Bombyx mori: one gene and its partners. The protein of the gene in region 2 interacts with the protein of the main gene of each other region in a pairwise test. Links are inferred from orthologs where the notes say so. Each region holds a gene or a part of one and is shown on either strand. Other genes may lie near its edges.

Region 1 (3,537 bases), on a different chromosome or scaffold from region 2:
CTCATCATATTTACAGGAATGACATCTCTATTGCAACAATTTTTTATTAATTTACCTAAGTCAATAGACACTGACCCTAATATAAATAAAACTCAAATTACCTGCCAGCATAACAGTAGTTAAGTTAAATAACAGTAGGATAATAACAACAAAAGAAATCACTGGCCACTTGACCGATAATGAACTATTATTACAAAGAAGTCCTCTTGGCAGATGGAGGAGAAAATATTTAAAAGTTAGGCATGAGCAATAAGAGGATGATATAATGGCATTACGCTTGGCACACACATGCTGAATGTTGAGATGGTGCAGCAGTAGTGTATAACTAGGTTATACAGAGCTTTTAAGATGATCTAAGTGGTATGATCATCTACTAAATGCCATAGTTGATAAACAAAATTCTTGTTAAAATTGTTTTTAAAATTCGCTTAAGTATATGGTTGCCATTGCCATTTCTTTGCATTGCAAACAGAATTTTAATTAATGATAGCTTAGCTTGTATTTTTGATAGCCTACAGAAAACAATGTAAATTCTTGAACTTTACGCAAGCTGTTTATTCAAAAAATCTACATTAAATTGTCAATCAATTTAAACAACATAGAGACACCTAACTCTAGACTTCTGAGAAAAAATACGTAAATATCAATTTTTTGCATTAATGTTTAAATTGACTATTATTATCATTTAAATGAGGCATAAATTGTCTTAGTAACATCAAAACCAGTACATACATAATGCATGCTCCATTTGAGCATCCAATTGTAAATTTGTCATCCAATTTGTAAATTGTTAATTTCATTTAAAATTTTATTTTATACAGTCACTAATCAGTAAAATATTTAATGTTATAATAATAATTTCCATTCGCAAGTGGTCGCAATTTGCAACATTTAGCAAAGTTATTGCAAAATATTTGTCACAGTAAAGAGATCTAAATTAATGTCACCCATGCCGCTAAGATCTAATATGTGCTCTAATACAAAAGAATGAAAAATATCCTAGTTAGCTTTTTTGTTTTCTAATCTTATTTTGAATGCTGTAATAGCCAGCAAAGGCTAGTAATTCAACATATAAATATTTATGATATAAAAATATTTACTTGGAGGGGGGTCAGTCTTGATTTCAGGGTTCCCCAGTATCTGGTAATCGGTAGTAGTTTCCAAACCCTCAGCGATGCTCTGCCAAGCTTCTTTTGAGTGACTATTCTCACTGCTCTGGTGTATGTTATCCACTTCACTCTCTCCAATGCTGCTTTCTCTTTTAATTTTTGGTTTCTTCTCACTTCTTTCTTCCTTTCGCTTTCTTTTATATGGAGTGAATAGTCTCACTGGTCCCATGGCTGTAGATTTCATTATTACAGGTTTATAATCACAATAATACTAATAAAACTACTGCTTAAAAATTCACAGCAATTTAGCATTCAAAATATATTCAATTGTAGCATACTTAACATGCATTACTTACCAGATTTATCATCACAGCAAGCTCCGCAAGTGCAGCTTGTAGCATGTGGAGTCAAAATACCCTCATCAATGAGAGCTTGAATACTTCTTCCACCAAACCTTATAGACCTCTTCCAATCTTTGCTAGAGGCTCTGCCACATAGAGCTTCGAACTCACTAGGAGTGTACCACTCTATGCCGTATTTGATACACCTGCCTCTGCCCCCTGAACCGAATTTATTTTTGTGGAGCTCTGCTGATGTATTTTTACAGCGTACCGGCAGCACTGGCATGTTCGCAGTCTCCGTCCATGATCGTGCACTCATCGATCGCGGCGCAGGCGCAGCTACCACCACATCCTCGCAATTAGTTCGAGTAGGAGAAGGAGGGTTCTGGATGACGATGTGTGTTGCTTTTAACTCATCGCTCACTGGCCCACCCGAAATAAAACCATTGTCAACGCAGATCATTGGCTTGAAATGCGGCAAATGGTCTGACGTGATTACGTTGAAGGTGGTACCCGCGATGAGCGTCCCAACTGGCAACGAGACTGGTACAGTCACAACTCCGTTAGAATCATTGGACAGCCGGGTGTTTTTGATGGTGGTAGACAACACAGACGTGCCCTCCACCCGCTCGTTGTCGTGCTCGGTCGCCGTCGACAATGGATCGGCTTCGGATACTTCGGTAATGTCCGGCATGACGACGTTGTCCGAACTTCTATTCTCGGCCATATCTTGTATCCGCCCACCCCGGCACTACACCTTCACGGTGTTGGACTGTTTCCGACAATTACATTAACGTTTATTTACTTTAATTCGTTCCTACTAAATAAAAGATATGCTATCGTTCAATCATCGTCCGCCATAATTAAATCGAAATAGAAACATTTCATTTCACGTAACTTCTCGTAACTAAGTAAAAGCGGCAAATTTAAAATTTATCAAATATCATCCGAAATGCTAATAATCTCATAATATTACATACTAATTAAATTATCTATTTTCTTTTAAACTTAATGTGAAATATTATCATTGTGAAGGTTACATGATGCATATAGTCTTCCTCTGTAGTGGTTCAAAGGAGCAATAAACAATAATAAGTATTAGATTAAATAATTTGATGTAAATAAGTATCATATTTGTAATTTCCAGTAAAAAAACTCGTAAACAGACATTGAAAATTCAATATGTACGATAGAACACATTTATATTATCAACAAAGTAGAAATTTGCATTAGTGTATTTTCGTATTCTAAAATTGAAACTGTGTACATACTTCACTTGAATTTATCTTATTGCGTAAATAGCATTTTAGTTGATGTTCCTATTTGATAATAAATCAATCCTGCCTTAAATTTATAAATATAACTTTTCATAACGTAGATAGGTATATACAGAAAAAAACTATATTTAAATTAAGAGACATAAAGCCAGTCATACACCAACAGGTTACTTGACAATATTTCAATATGCACAATACCTATTAATAGTTTTTGAGACATATGTTGCTTAATTATAAAGGTATCAATATTGATACCTTATCATATGATACGATGATCGTTGGTGATGATGATTGAAGCACATTCTTGGTATGGTAAGAGTAATATTGAGTGTTTTTTGTTTACGTATTTAGAAATAAAATTACAATAAAGAGTACGTGATAATATAAGTCACGTGGTCGTGAATGAGAGGGCGTATAGCACCTTTGATTGCCGTTATGGCTTGAACCACGGTTAAAGAAGAAGATTTTAGAAAAGGGCTAAGGAAATACCACAAACGCAAATTAAAGCTCAGGCTTTTTCAAAACTAAATAATGGTTGAAGGGAAAAGGAAAAACTGATTTGCAGATATAATCACGTACACATACGTGATCTGTAGATTTCTTGGTTAAAGGCAGTGGCTTGGTTTCGGGGAATAGGAATGCATTCCACTCTATCAGTTTATATGATAGTACATTGGAAAAGAAGCGATTACCTGGTGTCACGCTGAAAATGATAATTTAATATTACATTCAAGCAACTATGTTGAACAGTGTCATATTAAAATACTTCTAGGAAAGGTCAAACTTGCACTTGTACTTGTACTTGTTGTA
Region 2 (3,596 bases):
TGAGATCTTAGAACTTGTATCTCGAGGTGGGTGGCGCATTTACGTTGTAGATGTTTATGGGCTCCAGTAACCACTTAACACCAAGTGGGCTGTGAGCTCGTCCATTCATCAAAGCAATAAAAAAAAACTCAAACATCTGCTTTAAAATACATGGATAGATTACTAAGCCAGTGAAATAATGAAGAAAAAAAAACAATATTCTAATGTGAATAATAAAAATAATAGGTTGATCATTGTGGACAAGTGCACTCTGTTTTGAAATTTACCATACTTTTTTAAAGCAGCCTAACTGATTTTTTTTACATTAGAAACATGATGACTCTCCTTCTGTAAAAATAGCTTTCATATGAGTTTGTGTGTAGTTATTTTTCCTTTTAAGTCTTAATATTAAGAGTGCAATTTAATTCGTTATTAAAATAAAACCCCCTAAACGTTATCTATAATATTATTATATTAGAAATAATTACATTTTAAAGTATCATGCCCTTGCAGTCCTTGCCCATTGTTGAGATGTAGAAATTTAAAAAAAAACCAAATTAATTGTTTGCTTCTAATAAGGACTATTTGTTTGATATTTAAATTATCTTTGATCTTACATACTCTGTAATAAATATTTTTTTCATTTTTAAAGAGGAAATTTAACTCATTTTTATTAAATTTAAAAGTTGTTTATTTATGCATTATATTTTTTGTTTAAACAAATGAAATTAAGGACATTTTCAATATTATAAAAAAAACATGGGTCATGTGTCACATTTATTGTAATTTTAATAGTGGCATTTAAATTAAAGAGCATCAACTTAAGAGATAACAAAATTATTCACAAACTTCTTTTGTATTGTACATTATTAATACCCAATAAGTCAAGATATGTATCTCGATATTAGAAGCACAAAGTCAAATAAATATCTTTCATTTAGATTTTTTTTTGTGTTTTTTTTTGTAATTATATTAGTAAGTAGTAGTCTCAGTAGTGTACAAAAAACACACTAATGGGAAGTGAGACTGAAGGAGCTTGGTAGAGTTTTTTACTATTGGTAATACTAGTGTCTTAGAAAACTTCAAATCTACCTACTAAAGATTGTTTTTTTTTTTTCATAATTTGTTTAACAATCTTATCGTAATCTTGTTACACAGATATCTGCCATACAGACATCAAATTACATGTCGAAATAACGAAATAATAATTATGAGACCTTAAGCCCTAATTCCGAGATATAACAAATAATTTTCTATAAAATACACACTGTCTATAATCACCATTCCGCATCACCATTAGCCTTTTGGAATACATAATCCTTTCCAGCTAGATTCATGATTCCATCTTTGAGATAGAACTTCCACCTATTGCGACTGCGTGTAATTTTATCATATTGGCAAACAACTACATTATCAGTATCAAACATGTCCCCTGGCTCCTCATCAGATACATCATCACCGGAATTTAGGGGTTCTTCTTCAGCACCACCACTTTCATTTTGTTCTTCTTCTTCTTCTTCTGCCCGCTCTTCGGGAGAATCGTCATCATCATCATCATCTGCTGCACCGTCTTCTGAACCATCACCTACGTTTGAGCCATCATCATCAGAAGAGTCCAAAGCACCATCTAAAGAGAAAGGAGCAGTTCCACTGCGGCCGCCTCCGCCGCTATCAAAATCACTTTTTTGTCCTGCTAAAGCCGAGTTGATATGTTGTTGCAGTAAAGTAGCAGCTAGAGGTTGTGGAAGGCTAATGGTAGCATTTATTATAGGACCTGTTAAGACCTGATGCAGTTTGTTGCCGTTCAGAGCTGATGCTGGAATTTGAATGGTAAATGAACGAGGCTGGGACCCTGGAACTCCAGGTTGAGCAGGTAATGTAAGCTGAACTGGCACTTTATTATTAGGGTCTAGAATATGATGAGTATGCGTTCCAGCTACACTAGATGCTGGTGCACTATGTTCTTGTTGCCCCGAAGTATGTCCCATGTCAGTTCTTTTATGCACTACATTACTACCATTTACTTTTTGGAAATTCTGTAACACTGGAGGAGGTGGCAGCATCGGCTCAGGTTGTAACGGGTCCGTGGCTCCACTGGCTTGAAGCTTTGTCTTCCATAGTTGTTTTAGTTCTTGTAACACTTGTTCGTCTACACCGTCATCTAAGAAAGAATTTCTCACTCCGGATATCACGTCGTCTACCACTATGTTGTAAAGTTTCAATACTGCGAGCTGACTCGTTGTCATTTTGCAATCGAGCTGTAGTTGAAAATTGTTTAACAGTGTAAAATGTTCACAGAACTAGATATTCTTGTTTCTAAATCTGTTTAGTTTAGTTTAGAGCCGATTATTTGTCTTCTGAGTTCACATCGCAACATTTCAATGTCAAATTTCTGGAATTCACACAGTTTGTTAATTCACTAATGTTGATGACCAATTTTATATATTTAAGATAATATGTGGCTAAAGTAGCTTATTTTAACTTTTATGACGTCCATTTACATAAAGAGAGACAAATTTATAAATTCACCATAAAAATTTTGACAATTGATCACTCAAACATAACCTACAAACCGAGGAAATATTTCGTAGCCTTTAAAGAAATAATTGTCTATGGTTCGTTGATTCCGACATTGAACGACGACAAAGATGGCGCATGCGTTATGAGTACGAGAAATAGCACCGCCCCGCACCGCGCCCCGGTTGATTACGTATTGGTGAGTTTGCGCCTTGGGTAGTTGCCTTTAAATTGATTTTACGGTTTGAAAGGAAAGAGCCACCACTTTAAAATTTCAAAACAAAATTGGCATATCTAAAATTTATTGTTATAACATTGAATGATGAAATTTAAAAATATAGAATTTTCACAAAAAACGGTATTCATTCAAAAAAATTCGTTACAAGCCAATTTTAATGAAATTCATTTCTACTTAAACCATTGTTAAATAATATTGACTAAATAATATTTATATTTTATTTATATTAAACTATTGCACTGTTGAGTACAAGCAACGCAACACTCAATTTTATCTTGTACTATGAAAACTTAAAGACTTCATTCTTAATAAAACCGCATAATAGGACGTTTATGAAACAAGAGTAACTATAAACTTAATTGTTATTTTAGATAGATTTTTCAGTTTTTCAGTGGTTGTAAAAAATGTTGATTAAAATTGGTGGCATAGACAATAATTGAATTTTAGTATTTTTGTGGCGGGAAATCCAAATGTTGGAAAGAACTTTTCGTCTTTGTCGAAGCTTTTCATTTTTTTTGTAACGAATGACGTTGAAGTTTTTATATTTAAAATAGGGGCTTAAACTTATATAGTTGAAAAGGTAGTGTATAATAATATGCTTTCGTTATTAATTTGACATCAATCATCATCAATTCATTTGACTCAATACATTTCTTTCTGTGACAGATTTTTAAAGCACGACAATTGGTAAGAAGGTATTCTAATGGAACATTCTTATATATTCTGACTTCAATATAATATTAAAAATTTATAAATATCAAAATATGAGGGTTACAGTACTCATTTACCTCAATTTTCTTTTAGTAAATATTGTAACGAACAAAATCGATACCAATGCCGAATGAAACACGGTTTTTTCAGT
Region 3 (3,818 bases), on a different chromosome or scaffold from region 2:
TGAGGGTCGTGACCACCTTGGTCCAGTTTTATGGCAACCCCCAATTAATTCTGAGTTCAAGATTATTATTTTTTCCTACCTAATCTGATAGCCTTGAGAGGCTATTTCAGCATAACCTTGTTTTTTTTTCCTACTTAATCTGATAGCCTTGAGAGGCTATTTCAGCGTAACTTTAACTAGTGGGTAAGCTCACGGGATCAGACCGGAGTGATGCTAACACTGACCCTATCAAGAGCAGTGCTTCGCAGAATCTACCACCGGATCGGAAACGCGACCCACTGACAAGACCCAGCGAGAAACTCAGTGGGCTGTGTGTGTATGGGTTATATGAATTTGATAGGTATTATTTAAATTAAATCAAGACTGCCTTAAAGTACAGATTATCACTACGGGTTTCATGAGCCCCAGTACTCACTTAACACCAGTGCAAGCCTGTCCTTGTTAATCAAACCATTATTTTTGTTATATTTTCGTAACACACCTGTATTGAGTTAAACTTTCTATTGCAGTCAGTCCACATGCAAATATGTTCATTAGGTAAATTAGGTAACTGATTTCTTTTAGTGGAGTTCTTCTTGCATCTTTCCAGTTTTAATGTAGCTCTACCATTGAGGCCGATCGCCAGCAACTTCCCATGATAAGCATGGTAATTTAAATGCCGAAACATCTCATTATAATCCTTTGTTTTGTGACCACAAACATCCCAAAGACAAGAATACATTACTGAAATATAAACACAACAATATGGTTATTAAGTCTTATTAAGAATCGAGTATGCTTTATTGTATACCAATATAAACACAAATGCAAAACATTTGACCGTTGTCTGGAGGAGCTACCAATTCCAGACAACAATTGAGTGAACAAAATTCATATAAAAAAAAAACTAAATTACAAAATTTAATAAGAAGTCTGATGTAACTAGATATAGCAGTTAGGTGTAACCTTTTTTTTTGCCCTATCTAGAATTGCTTGCTCTCTGAAACATGCATAAATAAGGACTTTCAAGTGGCATATGGGAGTCAAGCCCATTCAACATCTGAGTCGTCTATTATCAAACGTGGCAATCTGTGCATTTGGACAAATAAATGTTATTGATATGTCAATTCAGATTGATTTGAATATAATCGTCTCCTTCAAAGAATACGGTTCAAAACCTGCATTAAATAAAGGTTAATACTTAACCTGTTATTTATCTAAGATGTCGTTCAGAAGAGTTTAGTGACTGCCAATGGAATACAAAGTCAATAATTCGTCTTTCTGATTTACCAATAATTGTCCAAAGTCACATTGCCGGCTTTGATAATAGTCGACTCATCTATATCTTTGTATCATAATTTTAGTCCACCAGTAGGTATTACGATTTTGCCATAGAGCATACATGCATTCCACTTGAAGATAATTGAGACTTCATTCTTATATCTCAAGGTGGCCACAGTACACATGTTTTGGCATCTTATGGGCTCCACTTTTGAGTAACTGCTTAATTCAGCTAAAAACTACACTTATCAATCATACCACTTTGACTAACCAGTTTCTTCCTTATCTATTATTTGAATCACATCAGAGAAATGAGCGATGACGTGTTTCTGATATGATTCATAATTATTGGTTAATAATTTGCATCCCTGCCACTCACAAGCCAAGCTCAGTTTGGAAATTCGTAAAAATTTTGTAGTCTGAAACAAATAATTTTCAAATAATAAAAAAATTGAAATGAATCTTTATTTATACTTTTCATAAGTAAAGCAATAGTATGAAGCAAATAGAGTTACAGTTTGAAGTGTGAAGCAGCCATTGTATTTAGAACTGAGACTTAGGACTCATGTCAAAAGGTGGTTAGGGGCATTTATGTTGCTGCTATCTATAGGCTTTAGTAACCACTTAACACCACTGTTAGCTCATTCAACTTACTAAGCAATAAAAACACAATCCAATTTTAACACAACAACCCAAGAAAAGTTTTCAAAGGTTGTGATGTAGAAAATCTGAAGACAGTAAGCTGTCTTACAGAGCATGTAGGCGAGCAATGCAGTGATAAAATGGCGATGATGTTATTTTCAACTATTTTTCAAAGCACTTCCCATGGTACAGAATTTTTTTACTGGTGGTAGGACCTCTTTTGAGTCCGCACAGGTAGGTACCACCACCCTGCCTATTTCTGCCGTGAAGCAGTAATGCGTTTCGAATTGAAGGGTGGGGCTGCCGTTGTAACTATACTGAGACCTTAGAACTTATATCTCAAAGTGCGTGGCGCATTTACGTTGTAGATGTCTATAGGCTCCAGTAACCACTTAACAGCAGGTGGGCTGTGAGCTCTGCCACCCATAGAGGCAACAAAATAAATAAAGCACACAAAATAGGGAGATTAAAATTTTCTCCATGCACCTAGTTTCAATAGAAAACGATGCAAACTTTATATTCAATTAATATTTTTCATAGCATTTCGGTGCATAATAAATGAAGCTCACCACAGTCTTTGGTTTAATGACAGATTCGTTAACACCGTCTGGAATGGTATCTTCTGTGTCCAGATTTGAAAATTCGGGTTTTTCAAATTTATTCGTCTGAACGAATAGGACATCATTCTTTGACTGTAAAACCTTCTTGTTTGATGGACTGTTCTGATGCTTTAACCATTGCATACACCGCAAAGAACTTGCGAGTTTAGGGTTTAATTTAATTTTGTGTTGAATTTCCACATTTTTTTTAACTGACATGATGATTATTTACTCCAATATACGTTATTTTCAAAAGATACCTAAGGAAGTTGGTAAGCAATAATCATTATAATATTGAGATATGCGGATTCGCAACCAAATCACTCAACTTTCTTTAAGCGCTGGACTATAATAGTTGAAAATTAATTAATATGTATTCAATTGTATTCACGAAATATAAAATAAACCACAAGTAGAAATCATTTTTTTTAAGAGATTTTATGACCTGGTAACTGAGATCTTTAAGTCATGTCTTATTTTAATCTATATTCTTAATTTTATGAAAAATGTTATTATGGAGTGAAATGATGAAAATGATTAATTTGAGACATTAATCAACTAGGATGAAATTAAATGAGATGATATGAGATGAAATCTAATCTCAGTAAAATGGTGGTCATTTACTAAGATTACAAGTAGAAATCATAGAAATGGCAGTCATAGATTATACACTTATTATATTTAAGGTAGTAGTAGTAGTTTTATTCTTCTAAATGGAAACCTTAAATTTTTTTTTTTAAATATGAAATATGGTATTATGAAATGAAGCTGATTAATTTATTATGAAACATGGCATGGCATGGCATGAAATTAAATGAAATGAAATGAGATGAGGTGATATGATATAGGATGACATTTTCCCACATTTGTGCACTTTTACAGATACTAAACAGTTGATAAACCACCGTTACTAGACATTTAAACCTGAAGAAACACAAAATAGACAAATTAAAACAAAACACACAACTTCACTCCTCGCGTTTCCGCCAAAAAGTCTAACAAAAATAAAATCTAGAATCAGTGATACCAGCTTTCTTAATAAATTTGGAAAAAACCACACTCGACATTTTACTACATAAAATTTTATTGGAACAATATTACAATTTTATCGATACAAACAATACAACAAAAATTTATTGGAATATTTTAATTCACAAAAAAATTATGAAAAAACTAGGCCAAACTTTACACAAATTCAAACAAAACATAATCAAATGTAGCCCATCTATTAATTATACAGCTTTGCCCCCACAGTTGGCTCATGATTTATGTCATGTCATCTTAATTCCACTCAAAATTTTTGGATGGGAAAAGTAT

Evidence for each region.
Region 1: the proteins of transcription initiation factor IIA subunit 1 (region 2) and deformed epidermal autoregulatory factor 1 interact in a two-hybrid assay, tested with the Drosophila melanogaster proteins (2 studies listed by BioGRID). The link is inferred for Bombyx mori from reciprocal best matches to the Drosophila melanogaster genes TfIIA-L and Deaf1.
Region 3: the proteins of transcription initiation factor IIA subunit 1 (region 2) and histone H4 transcription factor interact in a two-hybrid assay, tested with the Drosophila melanogaster proteins (2 studies listed by BioGRID). The link is inferred for Bombyx mori from reciprocal best matches to the Drosophila melanogaster genes TfIIA-L and Hinfp.

The regions. Positions count from the first base shown.
Region 1 is NC_085107.1:2,583,274-2,586,810, forward strand, and holds the start of deformed epidermal autoregulatory factor 1, read right to left. Parts: upstream 2,801-3,537; 5' UTR 2,178-2,800; coding exon 1,466-2,177; intron 1,341-1,465; coding exon 1,101-1,340; intron 1-1,100. UniProt on the Drosophila melanogaster protein: Transcription factor that binds the homeotic Deformed (Dfd) response element. High affinity binding sites contain at least 1 TTCG motif surrounded by additional TCG sequences.
Region 2 is NC_085117.1:13,411,502-13,415,097, reverse strand, and holds transcription initiation factor IIA subunit 1, read right to left. Parts: upstream 2,748-3,596; 5' UTR 2,226-2,747; coding exon 1,257-2,225; 3' UTR 744-1,256; downstream 1-743. UniProt on the Drosophila melanogaster protein: TFIIA is a component of the transcription machinery of RNA polymerase II and plays an important role in transcriptional activation. TFIIA in a complex with TBP mediates transcriptional activity.
Region 3 is NC_085127.1:12,664,367-12,668,184, reverse strand, and holds the start of histone H4 transcription factor, read right to left. Parts: upstream 2,925-3,818; 5' UTR 2,721-2,924; coding exon 2,472-2,720; intron 1,680-2,471; coding exon 1,532-1,679; intron 724-1,531; coding exon 482-723; intron 1-481.